2 linked regions of the Rhinolophus ferrumequinum genome follow. The protein of the gene in region 1 interacts with the protein of each later gene in a pairwise test. Links are inferred from orthologs where the notes say so. Each region holds a gene or a part of one and is shown on either strand. Other genes may lie near its edges.

Region 1 (6,870 bases):
TTCTGTTTTCAGAGTAGCATGGGTGCCATGGTTAGTTAATTAATATTAATAATGAAATGTTTCTGAACAAATAAATGAAGTGAATGGTTGCTAATCAGGGGACTGTCCAGTGGACAGAATGACACAGAAGTCCCACAGGTTACATCAGTGAGGATTACTGGGGGCTAGCAATGGATGCAGGCTCCTGTTATCTAGATGGCCCCAAGGGGCCACAGACTCAGGGCAAGGCTGGGAGACAAGGCTGGGCACGGCAGATACCTAACACGCACCAGAAGTTAAAAAACAAACAAAGCAGGAAGTGGGAAACTGTCTCTGACTGGGTCCCACTGGTCAGGGCAAAGCTACTGCTGGGGCTGCTACTGCCTCTGCTCAGGGACCCCACCACCAAACGCCGCCGAATCCCTCATTCCTTGAGAACCAGTGCATCTAGCCCCTGAGGTAAATGGAGTGGTAGTGGGAACGCATAGGAAGGAGCTGCCCTTTGCCTTGGAGATCGCTACCCAAAATTGCTCTCTTGCCAAGATTATTCATATTTGGGGAGAGGCAATTCTCTATAAGAGAATGGAACTACCCCCCCCCCAAAAAAAAAAAGATGGATCCTGAGCATCTCCAAATGGCCTAGCTGATTTGGACAGCAGTGTACACATAAAAAATATCATGAGGGAAAATTTGGGGGAGCACATTGGTATGCAAATTTTATAGAGTATTCTAAAAGTAATAAGTATATTATTTTTATTATATTTTACAGATTATTCCATGATTATTCCATGTAATATGTATATGTACACATAAATAATATGGTTCCATTAAAAGCATTAATACAAATTAACAAGAGCAATAATATCACATAGGAAAAAAACATGCAATGGATATGAATAGATCATTCCAGTAAATGGTACAAATAATCAATAAACATGAAAAAATAATGTTCATCATTATTGATTATTGAGGAAATGCTGATTAAAACAAGATATGATTTTGATCCGGCCCATTTTCAAATTACAAGCAAGATAACACAACATTGGAAAGTATTTTGCAGAGTTATAGAGTTTCAAAAATATTTATAGATGTTGATCCAAGTAGTTGCACTTTTAGAACTCTATCCTAAGAATTTAGGATCTCAACAAAGATTGACATCCATGGTGATATCGTGCATGATTTATAAACCACCCAAAAGTCTGGAAACATCCTAAAAGCCATCAGTAGATGAATAGATAAATAAATGATTGGAATATTCTTCACCCATTAAAACATATATTTAAAAAAATTTAGTGGAAGTAAACAATACTCAGTTTATAAATATTCAGTGAGATAAGACGGATTCTAGATTGTTTGTACAGCATGATAATTTTGTAACAAACCTTTATTGTTGTATAGAAAACAAACAAAAAGAAGATATAACAAAACATTAACAATGAGTTGTGTGTGTGTGTGAAGATTAATTTTAATTTAGAAAAATTTGTTTTCTGTGGTCTCTGAAACTTTGTATTTTTGTAAAATACAAATGTAAAAATTACAAAAATGAGCATATATTACTTTTATACTGAGAAGAAAAGATAAAAATTAAAGGGAATTTAGAATACCACTTGTCTGATAAAAATGTTGGATGTGTATCCAGATGGTTATATAACAGGCGTTCTTAATCATTATTTCTTGACCTCGTGGACAAAAAAGGGGGCTCTGTAATAAAACTGACAAGTCCAGTGATGGAAAGTAACCTCCTCACAGGGTGATCTGATTATAAATTCCTAACTGGGCAGGTCATGGTGGGTAGTCAGGCCCCAGGCATATAACTTCTGTAGTGAAAGGATTCTCTTTGCCTTAAGCAAGCGCTGTCCATTGTTTCTATGCATCCCAGTTAACATACCTTTGAAAGGCCTCTTTTCAGACCCCTCAAGAGAAACCACCTCAAGAGAAACTACCCTCGAGAGAGCACACAATCTTGTGAACTATCCTGTAATACAATGCCCGCCTTGCTTTCTCCCACTTTCATGTAATCTTCCTTAAATTCCCTCCTTAATTCTAAATGCATAAAAGCATTAATTCTAAATGCATAAAATTCTAAATGCATAAAAACTGCCATTCTGGAAGTATTTTCTCATTCTGTCGCGATCTTGCTTGCAGGCCTATCCTCTGTGTGGCTCAAATAAATTTTTATCAAAATTCTCTACAGGTTTGGACATGGAAAACATCTCTGAAAATATGCAAGATGTGGAAAAATTACAACCACCAACAATCAGCAAATCTCTCAACGAAATAGAAATAACTACATGCAGAATCCTCGTGCATCTAAAATTTATTTATGGCAGTCCACAGCTTAAGGTTATCTCTAGACAATGGACGGCCGTTTTCTATTTTACTCCTCTAGCTCAAGAAAGGAGAAATTGAGTTATTGTGAGGGCACTTAAATAATTACATTTTTAATTAAAATTAATAAAAAGGCCTATTATTGTAGGTAGTGCCAAATGTCTTAATGATGACACTTAGAAATTTGGGATGCAAGTTTATAGCCCGCTGTTTCTCAATCAAAAGCACTATAACTTCTGAAAACAAGCTTGTAAGAGTGCTGTTACTGGTGTGTATAGTACTTACCAAATCATCTGTGATTAATAAAACTTGAGAAAGAAGGGGAGGAAAGGGTATTCAGCCTTTCAGTAACACGCTTGTCTTATACTTGCCAAACTCTTCTTAGGCAATACTCTCTATGCTCAGAGGGCCATGTGTTTAATTGCAAAAATCTGTCAGTATCATAGGATTCAAAAGACATCAATCATGTCTGTCAACAAGGAAAGAGTGACGGCTGTGTGATTCTTCTATCATTAGGAAAAGATGTGCTCAACAGAGAAAAATGTAGTCCAGGGAGGGCTGAACAACTATAGGTTATAGGAAAACAGAGTTCCAGACTATAAGGTCACCCCCCCACACACAGTTTGGACTGGAATATAGTATTTTTCATTTCATGCAGTTCCATGTGTGCAGTAAGACATTATGTAACTCGGGCCGTCTTGGCTGTGCAATATCCACTAAGTGCTTTAAAGTGGCCATCGTTATTAACAGTTTGGTGTATGTGGACACGATTGCTTCCTTTGGCTTTGGCAGAATGCAATATTGTGTAATGAGGCTGGAGCTGGCCTATATTCAAAAGCATATTCCAAAAGGGCTGCTAGTCAGGCCACATGACAGTTGGTTCTCTTTTTCTTAAGACTTCATTCTAAGTGGACTAAAAATATCAAAATTGCTGTATTTGGACATTTCCATGGGTGCAAGGGGAATTTTCCATGTTTGACTCCTGATTTATTATTTTATGCTAAGATTTCTGAATTACACCTTGCTTGAGCTTTAAAGACACCAAGACAGAAATGCAGTCTCCTGTAGTTTAAATTACTTCACTTTTCTGAACCTCAATTTCCTTATCTGTAAATTAGCGATAACACCTACTTTAGGAAGTAGGAAGTTGAAAGAAGGCTTATAAGTGATGTCAACAAAGCTCCTACTTCGTAATTGTATACCACAGGCAAGTTATTTCACCTTTGTGATCAGCTGTTTCCCCACTTGTAAAACGGGCCTATCGCTGGTGGCTACCAGCTGCAATAGATGAGAATGAGATAATATAGACAAAGCTCCCAGAACAGTGCCTGGGCACTTGGTGGCTCAAGAGTACCTGACAATAACTAACGCTAGTGACATTCCCTAGGTTGATGCGGCTGATTTGTGAAACTTTGGGATACAAGAAAGAAACCAGGACCAGGAGAGAGGCCCGGCGGCCGGAGCCCTTCAGTCCCGAGGGGACAACAGCCTGCGCCGCTAGGCACCCGAACTGAAAACCACCTCGCCCCACCCCTGTCCGGGCGAATCCGGACGGCGAGTTCCGGGCGGCGGAGCAGCGCTGTCGCAGCTCAGGCCCTCCCTCCTCCGGCGACTCCAGCTGTGCCAGCTGCGCCTGAACCCCGAGAATCCGCCGCCACCGTGCAAGTGCCCGCGGCCGCACTGGCCCTTCAGGTAGGAGCTGCGCTGTGGCCGGGGTGCACAGGGCTCCCGTGGGAGCCCGGTTTCCGCTTCCTTCACCCTCCGTCCTTTCTCCCTCCAACCTTGGGCAGCTGGCCTCTCCCCGCCCAACTTGGACGGGACCTTGGCAGCCGCAGCAGCAGCGGGCGCCAGCGCCGTGCGGCCTCGCGGGACCAGCCCCTCTGGCTTCCATCGGAGGGCTCCAGTGCGCGCCTTCCGGTCCATTTCTTGCAGAGTGGACGCCAACAACTTCGGCGCGCACGTTTGCCGGGACAGGCTGCGGGCCGGAGCGCAGAGCCACTTTGGCTCCAGGCCGACGTTGGAGGCACCCGCCCAGCCCGCGGCGGGGCCCCAGTGTAGTGTGTCTGGCGCTCCCCGGTTATCTCGAGCGCCCGGAGTCCGCGCGCTGTGGGATGACCTGGATGGCGGGCGCTCTGGGAAGTGCTGCGTTGCGAGGCGCAGAGCCCAGCCTGCCAGATACACGGTCCTGGGCATGTGGCCACACAGCTGCTCGCTGTGGCGCCAAGGAGAGCTGACGTCGAGTTGGGGCAAGGGACACGGGGGCCTGGAGTGGGGGGTGTGTCAAGGGGCTTGTTTTTCTCCAGCCAACTCAAAGTTATTTGGTACCCAGATCTCAGATCCAGGAGCGCAGTGCCCCAAGTCTTGGATAGGATTTTGTGACGTCCTTCTGAACTGCCCTTGTAGAATCAGTTCAGAGCTACCGCCACGCCTATGTTTGCGCCTTCTCCTAATCTTGGATTATTGCCTTTACCTCCTCTGTGAAGTACTAAATGCAAGTGCATTCTTAAGATCCACCAAGGTTTCTGCGTTTGATCATCCTTATCTTTCCCCAGAATTGAGAGTTCCGTTAAGTTTATCTGCCAGGCCTGCCAGTGTCAGTTTAGATAACGTTTGTGGGCCTTCCAAGGGCTTGTGGGAATCTAGGTCCCCAGAGACCTCTGCGCTGTGTGAAATGGGCTAATTAATGGTGGTGCAGTGAAAGCCTTAAGAAGGGAAAGAGCCTACAGCGTGAGCTGTTAACAGTCACCACATTTACACAATGCCCATCTGAATAAGGATCTCTTTCAGTAGGAGATGTTTTCTAACATACATACATACAAGTGAATTTGTACACAGGCTTTTAGCTTGAATTTGTATGCAGCCTTTAAATGTTTGAGGACCTTCTAACTAATTGTTTGAGCTCCCAGTCTGTCTTCTTAAGATCCAGTACAATTCACAATCCATATAAAAAATGTAGTAGTGAAGGCTTTGAGGAAGATGTACCTTTACCGTGTTGGTCCCTGATGTCGGAATATTTATGAACTACCGTGATAAGTGCTGTATAATGCTCATTTAGGTTGGTTGGGGGACCTTGGTCCTTGGAAATTGTCAGAGTACTAATTGTGTTACTTAATAAAAAATTCTTTGTTATAAAATCCATTTACCTTTAATTCTCAGGGTTTTTTAAAAAGTTTTTATTTCTATTGTGGTAAAATGCACATAACATAAAATTTGCCATTTGACCATTTTTAAGCATACAGTCAGCGGCATTCACATTGTCATGCTGCCATCACCACCGTTCTTCCACCATCCTTCCACCACCATCCTTCTTTTCATCTCGTTGGATTTTAATAACATTTTAATGATAATGATTGTGTTGCAGGCTTTAGTTTTCTTCCTAAGCAAGTCTGAGTTCTCCTGTCATTGCTTTAGAGAAATGTACTTTTGAAGAGAAGAGGTGAAAAGCTATAACCAAATTGTGTTTAGTCATCTTATCTCTATCAGGAAAGTTCTAACACATCACTACTTTAGGATAAGCGTGTGAGCTATTTAAATTTTCACATAAAGGTATTGTGAGGTTTAGCTATCAAGAGGGTGACACAGGTAAGGGAGTTATTATTGATAGTTTCCTCCCCTGCCTAGCAGAAAAATAGAATACTTTTGTCCCCTTTTGTAGTGCAATAGCAACTGTCTAAATTATGCTTAAACTCAGGTTGTGGCACATATTTAGAAACTAAAAGCAGTTTTGGTCCAGCTAGGTGGTGGGTGTAGTAGCAATTTCTTCTTCACTCAGGTGTTTACTAAAGATTTATGCCAGGAGACTCAGCACATAAGTTATGGCTCTTTAAATTCACAGTTAGTCTGAGTCATTGTTTTCACATAAGTTATGGCTCTTTAAATTCACAGTTAGTCTGAGTCATTGTTTTCACAAAAGAAATGTCGCTGTGCTAGGCCTGGTTTTATGTTTACTATCCTGTAAGTCTTAGCACCACAAAATAAAATGTATTCTCCTGCTGAATATATATAGTTAAATGTTGTTGCAGGGTTAAAATGAGAAATTTGTAACCTAAATTTCCCATACGCCTGTGACATTTCTGATTAGAAATGGAATCATACAAATTGTATCTTCTGTTGCAGTGAGAACGCATTCCGATGTGTTAGTGTCCCTGAATTCACGGTGCAGTGTAAAGTCTGGATCCCAGATGTTTTAGTGCTGGGTTATTAAACAATTGTGTATGTTATGTAAGTGTTTCTTACTGTCACAGTTCTTTTTTTGTCCCTTCTGTTGTGAACGTTCCTTAATTTTTGAATTTATTGAACAAATATTTCAGTGACAGAATAAAATGATTTGTTTATTTAATCAACACTCATATGGTGCTTCCTGTGTGCCAGACACTATTCTAAACGTTAATCCTCAAAAGAGCTCTGTGAAGTAGGTAATAGTATCAGCCCCATTTTAGAGATGAGGCAATTGGAGGCACAGTGAGAACATAATAACTAGCACATGGCAGAGCTGGGGTTCCACGCCAGGCAGCCTGAACCCAGAGTTTTGGCACTGTTATCTCACTAGAAAAATATAACCTG
Region 2 (7,344 bases), on another chromosome or scaffold:
AGATCAACACAGAGGATGACGACGAGGATGATGATGATGACGATGATGATGACTAGTTGCTATGGCAACTATCTCCCTGCCCCACCTGTTCTTCTCATGTTCCTTCCTGCCTTCCCTGTCCTTTCCCTGAGCTCTTCCAGAGACATTAGGTCATTCTTTGCTATAGAGCCCATTGAGGATCTATATGCTGAGTACTGAGACCCTGGTTCCCTTCACCTGATGAGAAAAGGAGCAACTTTTCCCCACACAACGGCCCAACTATCTCATCTAACTTCTGTTTCTTGTCCCACAATGTCTCTGGATCTATTATTTGTTTCTCCCGTTACTCCCTAAACTCTTGTGATTTTACTCTTGCCATATCTCTGGGCCCCCATCTCTCTTCCCTCTGTTCCCTCCACCTGTGCATACTCTTCCCCCAACTCTCTCAAATCCTATATCCTTCTGACAGTCCTCTCCCTGACTGTGTTTGGGGCTGTATCTCAACAATCTCGTTAATATATTTGGGTCAAACAAGAGGCCTCAATAAAGGATCTGGGGCAGCTGAGCAAGTGTCTGCCAGTGAGGTTTCACCTCTATGGCAGGAGGGCAGCAGCCAGAGGGGGGGCGTTAGGTGTGAGTGTCTTGTTAGGGGCTTCGATAGGAGGGGGTTGGGGCTCCCTCCAGGCAGTTATCTCAGAGAAGCTTAGATTATTTATCTGATGCAAGTCAATAAGCCATTTCGGAACACATGGTGTTTGTCCAGCACCACCATTACACTCTGGGAGAACAGAGAGTGCCAGGCCTGTCCCTGCTCTCGAGCTGATTAGTCTCACTGGGAAGTCAAAACAAGCATAATAAACAATTAAAGAAAAATACAAAGCAATATGTAATTAAGTGATTATGTGCTGCTTGATGGCACCTTCCCTGTAGCTCTTATTGGAACAGTCAAGACAGATCCTAAAGAACATTTCCTTGGTGAGGCCTTTCCAGAGGTGGCCCCTTCTGCAGCTCCCTCCTCTGGGTTCACACTGCACGCTTTCTTTACACCTCTATTCTAGTACTCAGCACATTCTATTCTAACTCTCATTTACATGTCTGTCTTTCCTACTAGACTGCTCCCAGGCCTTTTCTCTGTGTCCACAGGGCCTGGCACACAAAAAATAGTCCCTAATAAATGTTGATTAAAAGAAGGAACAAATGAACAGAATGAGCTCAGAAGAGATCAGAGTGGGCTTTTGATGGCTTCATAAAGGAAGTGAATATTTTTCTAGGCCTTAAATAGGAGGGGGATTTGATTAAGGGCAAAGGAGTTGGGGAGTGGACATTTCAGGCAGTGGAAACATCAAAAGCACCAGAAGAATGTGTCTGTCGTATTGGGGGCACAGAGGAGAGAGACCAGAAGAGGAGCTCAAGTACTGGTCATGACAGGGAGTGGGCAGGATGGGCCTAGGCTATAGAGGTATTTGAATTTAATCCTGTGAGGTGAGGAAGAAGGGAAAATTTTAATCTGGCATGACTAGCAGGATAGATCTAGGGAGGGGAGATGAAAGAGATACCGGGGGCAGGGAGCCCAACTCTTTCAATGGGAGACCATTAAAATAATTGGGATGAAGTTGGGAGAACATGAACGCAAGTGGTGGTCATGGAAATGGAGAGGAGGCGTTAAGTTTTGTATGCTGGGGATCCCCCAGATCTGGGCCTGCTAGAGTTCCTGGCAGGAAGGATCCAAATTCTCTTCAGCAGGACCCAGACTGGGGTATGTGTAAAGGCGTCAGGAGTGGGGGTGGGGGAACCAAACAATTGAACAGGCCCATAACTAACAGACAGTTTTCATGGATCAGGTATAAGGGTGTTGCTGGGAAACTTAGCAGATTTCCGAGTATGGAAGAATGAGACCTGAGATTAGAGAAGTTTGCACCCTCCACAGACAAACCAAGGATTCCTGGAGAAGTGGCAGGAGTGTAGAGTAGAAACCACGTATTCATCCAACTTATACCCATTTAATAACTGTTTAATACATAGTGTCGTGTCCAGCGCAACATGGGCAGTGAGAGAACGAGAAGGGGAGGCGAACGGTTAAGAAAGAAACAGAAATCAAGAAAGTTTTGAAACAGGGGCCAAGGGTCTCACAGCCTCAAAGGACTGACAGCCCCAAATCGGGCCACCTTGTGGCTTTTACTGATGCACATACAAGGAAGTAGCATTGTTTTTACTACAGTCTGTGAGTCTCATACACAATACCAGAAAACTGGTTCAAACCAATCACCCTTGCCTGTCGAAAGTCCCGTGATATATAAGTAATTATTGTTTGTACCTCCCCAGGGTCAAAACCTTTACGTTGAAAACTTACTAAGATGGAGAACTGATGTTATCACATCTAGAATCACTTCCCAAGCAGGTTGTGGGAAGGAATACAGCCACAGAGGCGGAAGCTCTCCTTAGACAGGGGAAGGTGGTGGCTATGCCCACCTCTGTCAACCCCATGAATTCTCCTGGTGGTCCCCACACAACTGTGCCTGTCTTAGGTTGTTCCTTTCTTGAGGAATCTTGCCCGTCCTTGGCTAGGCAGCCATCCTTTGGGGCCAAACAAGGAGATGGCATAAAGGTGAAGCAATGTTCCTGAAAGGAATAGTCTCACAGACTCTTCTTTCTTTTTAGGGGTAGGCACGAGGGGACAGACGGGCAGGAAGCGGCGTGACAACAACATAGTATGGGCACTAGGCCAATACAATAATACCATGGAGATTACTGTCTGGCATAGGTCAGTGGAAGACCCAGACTAAACGATAGCTCCCATGTTTTAAGCCCCCATTTGTACCAGTCATTGGACACTGACAATTTCTGAATCTCAGAAGACCCCTGTAAGATAGACACTGGTGTCTATCTTACCAGCGAGGACACTGAGGCTCAGAGGCATAACCTGTCTGAGAAAGGAGTAGAAGCAGCATGAAGTCCATGTCCCCTGTACTTGGTTAATTCTAGAAGACCTGGACCTTCCACTGGTGCAGATAAATCATTTAGTTTCAGTCTCAAAGATGGGTCAATGAAATAGTTTTGGCCCCACCACATAGAAAAGATGAGATACATACAAAGGCAAATTATGAGGGTGTGACAGGGGACACTGGGGGACAGGGTAAAGAGCACAGAGGCTGTGAAACCCAAAGCAGCAGAAGTGTGGGACTCTTTCTAGGAGCAGTGTGGATTCTAGAAAGGAGGGCTCACCTGTATTTTCCTGAGGAGTCTCTACCAAGACAGAACGGAGGGGAGGCCAGGGGAGTCCTTGGAGGTGGCCCAGACACTGATGGGGCTCAGACCTCTTCCCAGAGCCAGACTCTGCAGGAGTTGAGGCAAGACCCCTTAGGCTGGAGAAGGGGGTGAAAACACATGCTTCCCCACTTCTTCCTTCTTTCAGTCTGGCTGAGAATCTGGGGGAGGAAAGTCCCTGGGGTGGAAGGGAAATGAGAGCAGCCATCCCAGGCCAGGGCAGAGGGGCAGAGCTAGGAGACAGAGCTAAGTGTGGCTTTGCAAGTTATCTATATTTGCATGCTGAGCTCATCGCTGCTCTTTTTCTCCCCAGAAAATAAAATGACATCATGGTGGAGGGAAGGCGGTAGGGTAGTATATTTGGGGAAGGTGAGAGGAACACAAGGGGGCCCATTGGCTTCATTCTAGAGGGAAATCTGGGGCTCCACGTCCAGCGAAGGCTGCTCTAATGTTGCTTCTGGCCCCCACCCCTACCTCCAGCCCCACCGTCCAACGTGGGTAGTCTGAGCAGTCATTACCCCTGACACATAAAGGGGAGAAAAGAGGTTTTTCTTTTCTTTTCTTTTTTTTTTTTTAATTTATTTTTAATTTATTGGGGTGACAATTGTTAGTATAATTACATAGATTTCAGGTGTGCAATTCTGTATCACATCATCCATAAGTCACACTGTGTGTTCACCACCCAGAGTCAGCTCCCCTTCCATCACCATACATTTGATCCCCCTCACCCTCATCCCCCCCCAACCCCCTTATGCTCTGGTAACCACCAAATTACGTTCCCCAGATTAATTTTCAAGAGGTTTTTCAAAATACCAAGTCAGGCAGCTAAGAGGACCCAGAGACCAAAGGCCTTCCAAACCCCTAAATCCAAACTTGCTCTGTGCCTCCCAGGATTCCAGCCATTGTAGTCATCGAAAGGTCATCATGGGAGGAGGGTGTCCCATTGGGAAAGAATTAAATCTGATAATTGGGTTTCGAGGTTTAGGGGACGAGGCAGCGTCCCCCTCGCAGGAGTCTTCCAGAACCCCAACCCTTTGGTTTCTCCTAACCCCGCCCCACCATCCCCCGCCCCTCCCCGGCTCTGACGTCACGGCCAGCCGGGTGGGGCGAGGCGGAGCTGGGCTCTGGCTCCGGCTTCGCGGGCGGAAGCTGCGCGGCGGCTGGAGCCGAGGAGGAGGCTCCGGACGCTGCTCAGGAAACAGGGACGCCAGAGTGCCCGCACCCTGCGCACTCAGCCCGGAGGCGGTGAGAGGGTGTGGAGGGGACGTGGCTTGGGGAGGGGGAAGATTTGGGGTCTGGGCTCGGAGGGGCGTGGATCGGGACGCCCGGACAGGCGTGGGGTGTGAGGCCCCGGTCGGGTGCGCGGGGTCAGGTCCCTGGGCTCAGTCCCCGGAGGGGCGCCTCGAGCATGTGCCAGAGGCAGCGGGGCTCTGGCCTCCCAGTCCCCGCTGGCAGGCGGTTTGAGATCCCGTACGGGCCTGCTTCCCGCCCAGCCTGTTCGGCGGCCAGCTGCCGCCCCCCTCCCCTCCTCTGGCTGCGGACTCAACCTCGGGGGTGGCCTCCCTCCCGGCCCAGCCCGTCTCAGTCCCCCGGCAGCCTGTACGCCCCCACCCCGCCCTCTGCACCTGGGGAAGAGGTGGGATTGGTGACAGTGTGTCCCTAGGGAAGGAAGGAGCTGGGGTGTAGAGGAATGAAGTAGCTAATGTAAAACCCCTAATTAATTTCATATAATCCGTGTCAAAACTGACAGGGACACACACCTACAAGAGACAAGCCAGCACACACGGTGACACACACCCATGTGACTCCTACACACATCGTCTGGCACACAAGCAGATTACAAACGTCCCTGCACTACACATCCAACCCCCACCTCATCCCACTTGCATATCACCTGGAAGAACATTAGTCTAACTGGACAGCTGAGTGGGGGCCACTGTCCCCAAGTCCACCCTAATTTTCTGGGCATCTTTTCCCAGCCTTGGGCTTCAGGTTGCATCTCTTTAAAACAGTGGGAAAAACAGAGAAAATCCTGGTGTCACTCCAGGAGAGCGAGACAGGATGTTGAGGGTGAGTGAGCCTGGTGCTCTGAAACTGGGTGAGTAGGGAGGGTAGGAGCTGCTGGTGGCCACTCTTGCTGGGTCGTTAGAGCTTATAGGGTGCTGGGAGTGGTTGGTTTCTGGCATCAGAGTGGAGGAGGGGGTGGAAGCAAGGGAGAAGGAGAAAAAGAAAGAATAAGTATGAGTCAGCCAAGGATGGAGCCCAAGTCAGAGAGAGAATGAGGGGAAGGTGAGAGGGACAGAGATACAGTCAGGAACAGGGAAAGGGAGGAAGTGACAGAAAGAGATGGTCCGAAGACTGGGAAGAGTGTTGGGGAATGGACTATACAAAGGGTCAGAAAATTAGAGGGCGAAAGCAGGATGGTGGTGAGACCACAGGGAGTTAGGGAAAACATGCTGAATCAGTGTGTTTTCTCTACTACAGTGTCTGGCCCCTAGGCTGTCAGAGTGACTAGCTTTAATTGCTCTTCCCTTTGTGGTTCAACACTGTATTAGGGAAATTGCCAGAGATGCCTTAGGCTGCTGACTGCCCTGGTTGCCTACTTCCTCACTTCCCTGACACCTGTGCCCATAATGTGTGCATGTATTGATTATCAGGCATGAAGAAGAGAGCCACAGAATCACACCCTGCCATGCCATCCCCTCACTCTCTCATACAGATCCTCATGCACAGTACAGTGGGGGACATCACCAACCTGTGTACAGCCAACCAAACTAGGCACTTCCCCACCAGACTTACCCTATCTCTCTACAGCAGGGTAGCTCACTCCTTCCTAATAGAATGGTAGCTCTGAGTATTCAGATGGGGACACTGAGTCACAACCCAGGAGTCCTGAGTAGCCATGTTTACCACGAAGTGGGATAGGATGAAACCTCATTGAAAGGAAAGGAGAGAGACTGAGAGACCAGGGAGAGAGGGAATGTATGAGGAAGAAACAGAACAGAAATAGGAGTGGGGAGAGAGACAACCAGATGAGGGGAGAGCATCACAGGCCCCACCTTCTCCTCCCATCAGGTGGCCCTCTGCCTTCTTGGTCCAGTGGGTATCTCCTAATGCCCTCATCTCCATCTGGTCTTTCTTCTCTTAGATTAAGGGCTAAAGGCTTTGCACTGTCCCTGTGCAGAGAGGTGACCCATTTTGCTTCTTGGACTGAACTGGAAAGGTCCTGAGACCCAGGTATCCCGCCTCCCCTCACTCCAGGCTGACTCTTAAGTGTTAGAGCCCTGTTCTTTGTTACAGGAATAAAGACCATTCCCCCCCCCCAAAAAAAAAATGCTGAATAGAAGCTAAGGGAAGAAGTCAGTTGAGAATAGTATTAATGGATTAATGGAATAATTAACGGATGAACTACAGGACTGCTTGAATTTGAGGCCCAGATAAAATTTAAAATAGAACCCTGCACTCTCCCTTCCCAATCCTCTGCTTCTCCTTGATTACTCCCCCACCTGCCCCGCCCCCCCACACGCTCAAGAGACTGACAGACTTGAATGCCTAGAGGTCCCCTCCTGCCCACTGCAGGGATCTCCAGGCCCCTCCCCTCAGCCTTAGACAGCTGCAGCAGATGTGAGGGAGGGATGGAGGGAGGGGCAGCAGCTCTTAATCCTCAAGCTTTCTTCTTAAATTGAGGATTTGGAAGCAAATGCTAGGGGGAGGGGATAATCATGAATTGATGTCAAAATGCACAGAAATCTTTTGGTGTTGCCACCTTCTCCACAGGTGGTTATCCCATTTTGCTAGGCTTCTCATAGTGCCCCCAGGGCTTGCTCCTTCCTCCCCCAGTGCCCAGGGATCATCTACCTATCAAGCTCCCAAGTCCTTCCCTACAGGTCTGTATATAATGATCCTTACCCTCAGCCCTTCTGCCTCAGCATCCTAAGTTAGTCGGACCTTAGACAGGGACTCCACCTGGGGCCGGCTTGGAAGGAGAGGGAGGAAGGAAGGAAAGTGTGAGGAAGTTGTGAGCAGAGAACAGAATGACCTGGGAGGAAAGGGGCTGACTTCCTGGCAGCCTCAGCTCCGGTTCCCGGTTCCTGCCCTGGT

What was found.
Region 2: the proteins of PLD1 (region 1) and PEA15 interact in a two-hybrid assay, tested with the Homo sapiens proteins (2 studies listed by BioGRID). The link is inferred for Rhinolophus ferrumequinum from reciprocal best matches to the Homo sapiens genes PLD1 and PEA15.

The regions. Positions count from the first base shown.
Region 1 is NC_046285.1:70,808,514-70,815,383, forward strand, and holds the start of PLD1 (phospholipase D1), read left to right. Parts: upstream 1-3,857; 5' UTR 3,858-3,999; intron 4,000-6,870. UniProt on the Homo sapiens protein: Function as phospholipase selective for phosphatidylcholine. Implicated as a critical step in numerous cellular pathways, including signal transduction, membrane trafficking, and the regulation of mitosis.
Region 2 is NC_046305.1:28,328,003-28,335,346, reverse strand, and holds the start of PEA15 (astrocytic phosphoprotein PEA-15), read left to right. Parts: upstream 1-4,331; 5' UTR 4,332-4,488; exon of another isoform or gene 4,489-4,496; intron 4,497-6,391; exon of another isoform or gene 6,392-6,480; intron 6,481-7,344. Other genes in the region: CASQ1 (calsequestrin-1), read left to right, coding at 1-56. UniProt on the Homo sapiens protein: Blocks Ras-mediated inhibition of integrin activation and modulates the ERK MAP kinase cascade. Inhibits RPS6KA3 activities by retaining it in the cytoplasm. Inhibits both TNFRSF6- and TNFRSF1A-mediated CASP8 activity and apoptosis.